Mus musculus: one gene and its partner. The protein of the gene in region 1 purifies or fractionates together with the protein of each later gene. This does not show direct contact. Links are inferred from orthologs where the notes say so. Each region holds a gene or a part of one and is shown on either strand. Other genes may lie near its edges.

Region 1 (3,649 bases):
GTTTCAAGCCTTTGACAATTATTTTATTTAATACTATAGAAAACCATACGGGCTATATTTTTTTTTATAAGCCCCATTTTCAAGTGGAGTAAACTAAGAGTAAGACACTTGAGCGTTTAAGACAAAGTAAGTTTCAGATGTAATTACCTCTGTGCCCTGAGCTTCAAGTCCAGGGATGCTGCATGCTGGCTTGTGAGAAGCAAACTCAGAATCTGGAGACAGGCCTGATCTTAACTGCCAGGCTGTCACTCGGGAGGCCCCAGAACATCCCCAGATTCTGTCTGACCCTCACTGATGGGTTCAGCAAGACTGTCCCGTCCCACAGACATCCCAGAGCAGAGGGCTCTGGCTCTCCTCTTCTTCCCTACCTTGGTGCAGGTTTGCTGGCTCTGCCTTGTCTGGGAAGCTCTGGCCAACAGCGATGGGGCCGAGACTGGCTTTGCCAGCACCACGATCCATCTGCTGTTCCAGCTGTAGCCGAAGACGGTTGTTCACTTCAATGCTCTGCTCCAACTGTCCTCTCAGAGCTCGAATCTCTGCCACCAGGCAGCTTAACTCACCCGGGACTTGGTGACAGGAATCTAGGCTAAAAGCTGAAAGTAGAAGGGAGGACACCTAATGGCACCAGTATGCATTTCCATGTAATAGTCAGATATTGCTCTGTGACATTCCTTTCTGCCAAGGGTCCCACTGGAGTCTCAGGGGCTTGGCCACACGTCTGTGGGATACAACCTTCTCATTCAGCCCTGGGAGCACAGCAAGGTTGCATATAACTAGCCTGGGATTTCTCTGAGGGTCAGATTAGTCATGTGTGCCCATGAGGCGTTTGGACTGGCAGGTGAGAATATGCCTACTGCGTCATCTCCCTGTTAAACTTTGTACTGCAGGCTAGAAAGCAGGTCAGCACTGAACGAAAAAGGAGTGAAGGTCGAGGGAGGACAACTGACGGATTCCATATGCAGGGAGGATAATCCGAACACGTGGGGCTTCTGGGGACAAAACACGGGAAGTCAGTCAGGTCTTAGACCTGGGCTCAACATTCCTAAGTGAAGTTTCAATTTCTCTTCACCACTTACCACACGCATTTGATATGGAAGGATAAAAAGATCTAATCAACAGTCCAACCTGAGAGCCACTTATATTTTGAAGGGCAGAATTAGTTTTGGATTTTACCAAGACTTTATCTATACCTCCAACTACCTGCAGGGCGCAGCTGCCCTCAGCCCTCAGGCCTTAGCCCAACACATAATTATTTTTGTCACCGGCTACGTGGACAGTCTAAGCAGACAGAGACTGGCTGTCCTCCCACCTCTTCAGGAATGCTTTGTCATCAAATGAGTACAGGAAAAGCCTGCAGCTTTAGCTACCTTGCTGGATTTTGGAATTCAAATGAAGAATTAGTAGTAATTGGTTTGAAATGAACTCAGGAAGGCCCATGCACTAACAGAACACAGCATGAAAAGGATACACAAACCCAGTGTGTGTGTGTGTGTGTGTGTGTGTGTGTGTGTGTGTGTGTGTGTGTGTGGTGCAGGGGAAGGGTGGTCATGATGAAGCAGCTTCATGGATGAAGGTTCTAGTGTGTTTTCTCTTCCTCTCATTCCAAGTTCTCACTAACTTTTGACTGTTTTTTGAAAAAAATATTCCCAGCATTCATTGCCCTTATCTTCCAGTTGTACCATATCTCTTATCACAATTTTAAATTTTTTTGAAATTATATCATTTCACCCTTCCCTTTCAACCATATAACCACCCCCTTCCAGCTCATGGCCTAATTGTTTCACACACACACACACACACACACACACACACACACCTGCTCAGTCCCTATAATGTCACTCCTGTGTTTTCTGGGCTGAGCATTTGATGGTGGATAACCAGGTGATGCACTCTTCCCTAGGGCCTGTGGTCCTCTGCCCAGGGCTGGGGCCTTATTTGCTATCCCCCTTCTGAATTAGCATGGCTATTGCTGTCCTTTATCTCCACAGTAGGACCTTGTCTCTTGATCTAAAAACACTGCTACATTTATCCAAAATTCTTCCCAGACTGGAGGTCTCCTAAGTCCTGACTCTAGTATGTTCCATAGACTCAGCATCTTAAAACTCTGGAGCCGTCTTCCTGGAAAGTAAACTCTGGTCTTGAATTTTAGGCTTTCTATGTGGCAGCAGCCTCCCTTCCCACTGCCCTGACTTCTTACCTCTCCTTTCTTTTGGTTTTGAGTCGGTTTCTCCACTTGGGGAAGGGAGGCGGGATAGATGCTGATGGTATGGGCTGTCATGGTCTGTCCTTCAGCACAGGTAAGGATCCTTTCAGATGGTGACAGCCCTAGGGTATTTCTTTATATAAACCATGCTATAATCTTGCTCCTGATTAAGTTGCTTTTTTTTATTAAGTGGGTGAAGTGATCTTTCAGTCTGTCCTTAAGGGTACCCAGGCTTGATCTGCTCATGTCAACCCTTGGGCTTTGGTGAGAATGGGGGCTCATACCTTTCAAGGCCTTCTTGGGATTTTCACAGAGGGACTCGTAGATCTGGAGCTCTGACTGCAGGGACAGGGAGAGCTGCTGTTTCTCTTCGCACTGTTGTTGCAGGAGGGCCAGCTTGTGCTGCAGCCTGCCAAGGAGAGGCAAGGGTTTACTGAGCCAAGTGGGAGAAATGAGCCTCGAGCCAACCTTTGCCTCAGTTGGCCTGGTAGGATGGCCTGGCCATCACATTCATTTGGCAGACTCTGGGGCAGGTAAAGTTAGTTAGCCTGAAGTTGGAACACTAGCTCTGTGTGCAGGCAGCAGTGTAAGCACACTACAAGCCCCTCTCTGCCCCACAGTGCTCTCCACATTGACAGAAAGATGCAGGGCTTCCACTGGGATAACAACTTGCAGTTTATGGCAAGAGTGATGTCATGCATCTAGTGAGAAGGGTGGGACTGCTCTCCTGCCAGTCTCTGACAGATGGAAACCTCTGTAATAGGATTTTATCACTCTACTTCATACTATAAAAACACTATTCTCTCTTTTTGTGTGTGTGTCTCAAATAGAGTCTTCCTTTTGCTCCAAGTGACCAGTGAGGCAGAAGAGTAAAGAAGGAACTGAAGTTCCCAAAGGAGGAAACTACTGATTTGTCAATATCCCTTCTGCACTGAGAAGCCGGGCCATTCCATATCAAGGCCCTGCCTACCTGGAGTTGTTTTCCTGGAGCGACAGCCTCTCCTCTCGGAACTGCACGATCTCATCCTGCTTCTCCTGCAAGTCTTCCAGGAGCTGCTGCCGCTCAGCCTTCTGCTGCTCCAGCTCCTTCTCCAGCTCCTGAAGCTGGGATCTGGAGGAGAGCAGAGCCTCCCGCAGGTGATCCACTTCCTGGGAGTGTCCTGATGAGCGGGACACAGGGGTATTTATGTCATGGCCTGAAGCCCATGAGAAAGACAAACCCAAGCACACGTGAGGCCAGGGGAAGGAAGGTCCCGTGTGGCCGAGCAGTCTGGCTTAGTGGACCCTACGTACTGGGGCTTGGGTGGCAGTGGTGTTTGTGGTATCTGACCCTCCATTTAAGAACACCTGCCCTAGCTCTTAGAGGAGACAGCGAGTTCCCGAAGCTCAGCGTTTTCTAGGTGTTCGTGGGCAGCTATTCAACTGTACACCTCCAGTCTTATCAAA
Region 2 (3,749 bases), about 49 Mb from region 1:
ACAACCCCCCAAAGCCTGTTCATTTACCTTTATACCCAACTTCATTCCTTGGGAGTATTTTTAGAATTAAGCTCTAGAATTCCCTGTCTGTGGGAGGCACTTCCTCATCAAACTGCAAATCTTACCTTCCTATCTTTAATTAGCTCTTCAAACCAAACACTGTGCTGCTGGTAACGTCTTGTGGTCTAATTTACTCTCAGCTCCAGCACTGACACTCTGCCTTTCACCTGATGCTACACAGTAAGTGACACTTTAGGATCTTGTCCACAGGTCTACGAGGAAACCCAAGCAGGTGGTAGCTACTCTGAGAGAGGACAGATTAATTAGTGATGCAGAGGTAGTCAGAGCCTCAGAGCTGTTCTTTACTCTCTCGTTGATAACATGATCTCAATTCTTGTTTCTTCAGGTCTGGCACTTGGTTGGGTCTTGAGTTAGGATGATTTCGTAGACTAAACTCTTAAGTGTATCTCTTAAAGTGTATTCTGTGTATCAAGAGAAATTTAAATGATTACATTTAAAATATGAGCCACAAATTTTCAGGAATAATTCATCTGAAAAGTACACAGAAGAGTTGGGGACAGAGTGGTAAGCCATGTTCTGTCATTACGTTTTATGACATTGTACCACTTCTTTGCTACAGAAGAGCACCAGCACACCTGGCTGACACTTCCCCCTGTGAGCCCTGAGAGCTGAGCCATGACCGTCTCCTATATCCCATGGGACATCTGCTGTCTTCTTTCGACACTTCACAATATTTTTCAAATGATTCTAATGTTCTTCAGTTTCTATAAATAAGTTCACACAAGACTTTGTCATAGCTGCTAGTTTAAATGCATATCGTCTAGGGGAAGTGTATAGACTGCTGGAGAGTGGACTATCATTAAAAATATAAGAACTGTGCAAGATAGCACTTGCTAAGAAAATTACTGGGCTGATCCAACTATCAAGCATATTTTCATAACACAATTAGCATACATTGTACAAGAGAAATAGGGGAAAAGCAATGTTACATGGATATAGTATTTTGTCATACTTCATTTTTTGTGAGTCTGTACAATTAGTTACTACATTTGCACAATTACTAAGATAACAAGGAAGTCCTAATTCTACATCGGCTTTTCAAGTTGTCACATGCTCACCAACAGTTTGCCCTGCTGTTCCATGCCCTGGAACGAACCTTATTGATGAAACATAACCCGTTAAATCTGACTGTTGTTTACATTCCACAAAAGCAATAGCTAGACTCTCTTCTGTCAACTCAACTCTGCTTTGTTCATGAGAATCAAAAGCTGTTTGCTTCAAGCTAATTACAAGATTGGCTTCATTCTTCTGTTATAAACACAGACACAATGGAAGACGTTACTTACAGTAACACGAACAAATTGTCAGACTTACTTCAAGGACTGAGATGTCATTAACCTATGGCAATGTAACAAAAGTCAGGGACCGTTCTCTAATTATTGTGAATTATAAATTATAATATGAGCCGAATAATGGCACACAATTTTCTCACAGCCTGTTACACAACACGCATATATGTGTATGCTTACATATAAAACCAAGTTGCTACACAGAAACTCAATTCCCACGACCCTTTTGTCTTGAAATTTTGTACACAGTACTGAACGTCTGAACTTTCAGCTCTCGGAAGAAAGCACTTCAACTCTGAAATGCCTCTAAGTTTTACAGGCATCCTGGAACATTCCTGGATGTCTAGAGTAAACGCAACGCTGTCTCACTTATTTTTCCTCGAATGGATAAAGTTGCTGCTTGTATTTATGTCTGCCATCTCTAATCTCTTGGGTGAAAGAAAGAGCCTTAGACACTAAGGGTTAACGTCACCTTTGGAGACCCTCACGGACACTCACCTTGTGAGAAAACTGATATACATCCAGGAGAAGGAGAAAAAGCCAAGTCAACCCAAACGTACTACCTGTGGCTCCCTTAAAGGAGGGTCTGGGTGTTGGGGGCTCTGGGAGAAAGAAGAGCTAAGGGTGCGATCACAAAAGGACCATATTTGGGGACGCGTTCCAGACCGTGGCAGCCCTCCTCGCTCTAGTAAGAAAGGGGATCACAGGGACCTCGCTGCCCGCCTTCCCTCTCTCCAGTGAGCCCCGGGGCTTGGCCCTCACCCCCGAGCCTTCGTGGGGGAGGGGACAGAGGAGGAGGCGGCCGGCCCCCGCGGCCACTGCAAGGCCCGGCCCGTGGCTCGCGCGCGGCCTTGGGGGGGACACCGGCCCAGGGCGCTGCACCGCGCGGCGGCCCATCCGGCGGGAACCCAGCCAGGGCCTTCGACTCGACTCACCGCTCTCCACTTCGCTGCCTTTCTTGGCGATCGCAGTGTTCCCCATGACCCGGGAGTCCGCAAGCAGGGATGACGGAGGGGAGGGGACCGGGGCCGTCCCGCCGCCCGCCCCGCAGTCGGCAGCAACTTTGGCTAGGCTTTGGCTAGGCTCCCGCAGACCCTAGAGCGCGGCGTCCGGCTGCACGGAGGGGCTGGGTGTCCGGGAGAGATGCTGAGAGCTCTCCGGCAGAGACCGGGACCGTGGCGGTGGCGGCGGTGGCGGCGGTGGCGGCGGCGGCAGCGGCGGCGCGCGGACACTCCCCCTTCCCGAGCCCGCCCTCCACGCGCGTCCCCGACACGGCGCGTCCCCAGGAGCCGCACACCCGGACTGCGACCTCCGCCTCTTTCCGGGCGGGCGCGCCGGAAGTGACGCGGTCAAGCCCCCCGGCGGGCGGGAGCCCCTCTGTGCAGGGTTGTAGCGGTAACTTATTGCTTGTTGCGTGGATGCTGGGCTTGGCCGCGGAGGCTAAGCTCGAAGTAGCGAGGGACGTGGGGACCGTTAGTTTGGAAGCACCCCAGATCCTTCCTCGGCCTGGCATCCGGTGCCCCAGAGCCGGGCGGGGGGCACAGTGCCAGGGCTCGGCCTGCTCCCGCATCCGTGTGGCCCGCGTTCCGCACGCCGTGGTTGCTCTCGCTTGATCTTCCTGCGTGGCTGCAGGGACGTGCGTGCGCCCCTCCGCGTCCTGCCGACCCTGCTGACCCTGAGGTCAGCGTTGGCCAGGAATGTCTTTTCTCAGCTCCCAGCTGTCATTGGAACTTCTTCCCTTCGCTCTTCTAGGTATTCTCCCAACACACCAGGTCAATCACCAACATTCTTGACAGCTTATCCCTTCCCGAGTTCCTTCTTCATGGTCTCACCTGATTGCCCTCACAAATTCTGTCAGGCTTTCTAAGGAGAGATATGGGAATGTGTTGCCTGTTTTACACAAGTACGTTATGTGCATCAACACAGTCACAAATTTCAAAATAAACGCATTCCCAATTGATTGTTGCGCTTCCATGCATCTGAGAGTACTTGAGCTTTTCCGTGAGGTTATTAGAAATTAATCACCTAGCCCTCTGGTAGTTTTTGTTCTGGTTTTTTTTTTTTTTTTTTTTTTTTTGAGCTTTTGCTATCTAAAAAAAAAGCATTCCAAATTTAGAACAGAAAGATTAACTTCTGGAAGGGCAGAGACCATGTAAGTTTATTTTGTGTCTGCAGCACAAACCACAGTTGGCGCGTAATGAACGGATGGTTGTTGGCTGCTAAGGAGATTTCCCAGAACATTTTAAAAGTTTTGTTATTGGGGAAAAAAAGTAGCGGTGAGTGGAAGATTCTAAACAGATTCATACTTCTATTATTGGCAATTATGTTAAATTACCAAGCATGTACACCAAGTATACTGCGTTCTAAGTGTTGTACAAA

What was found. Proteins that work in one complex are often made in the same cells at the same time.
Region 2: the proteins of Pde4dip (region 1) and Prkacb purify together in Homo sapiens (affinity purification with mass spectrometry; 5 studies listed by BioGRID and IntAct, counting the BioPlex papers as one, with this or other methods). This does not show direct contact. The link is inferred for Mus musculus from reciprocal best matches to the Homo sapiens genes PDE4DIP and PRKACB.

What each region holds. Positions count from the first base shown.
Region 1 is NC_000069.6:97,696,622-97,700,270, forward strand, and holds part of Pde4dip (myomegalin), read right to left. Parts: intron 3,364-3,649; coding exon 3,174-3,363; intron 2,613-3,173; coding exon 2,488-2,612; intron 594-2,487; coding exon 369-593; intron 1-368. UniProt on the Homo sapiens protein: Functions as an anchor sequestering components of the cAMP-dependent pathway to Golgi and/or centrosomes.
Region 2 is NC_000069.6:146,810,333-146,814,081, forward strand, and holds the start of Prkacb (cAMP-dependent protein kinase catalytic subunit beta), read right to left. Parts: upstream 2,615-3,749; 5' UTR 2,352-2,614; coding exon 2,306-2,351; intron 2,299-2,305; exon of another isoform or gene 1,869-2,298; intron 1-1,868. UniProt on the Homo sapiens protein: Mediates cAMP-dependent signaling triggered by receptor binding to GPCRs.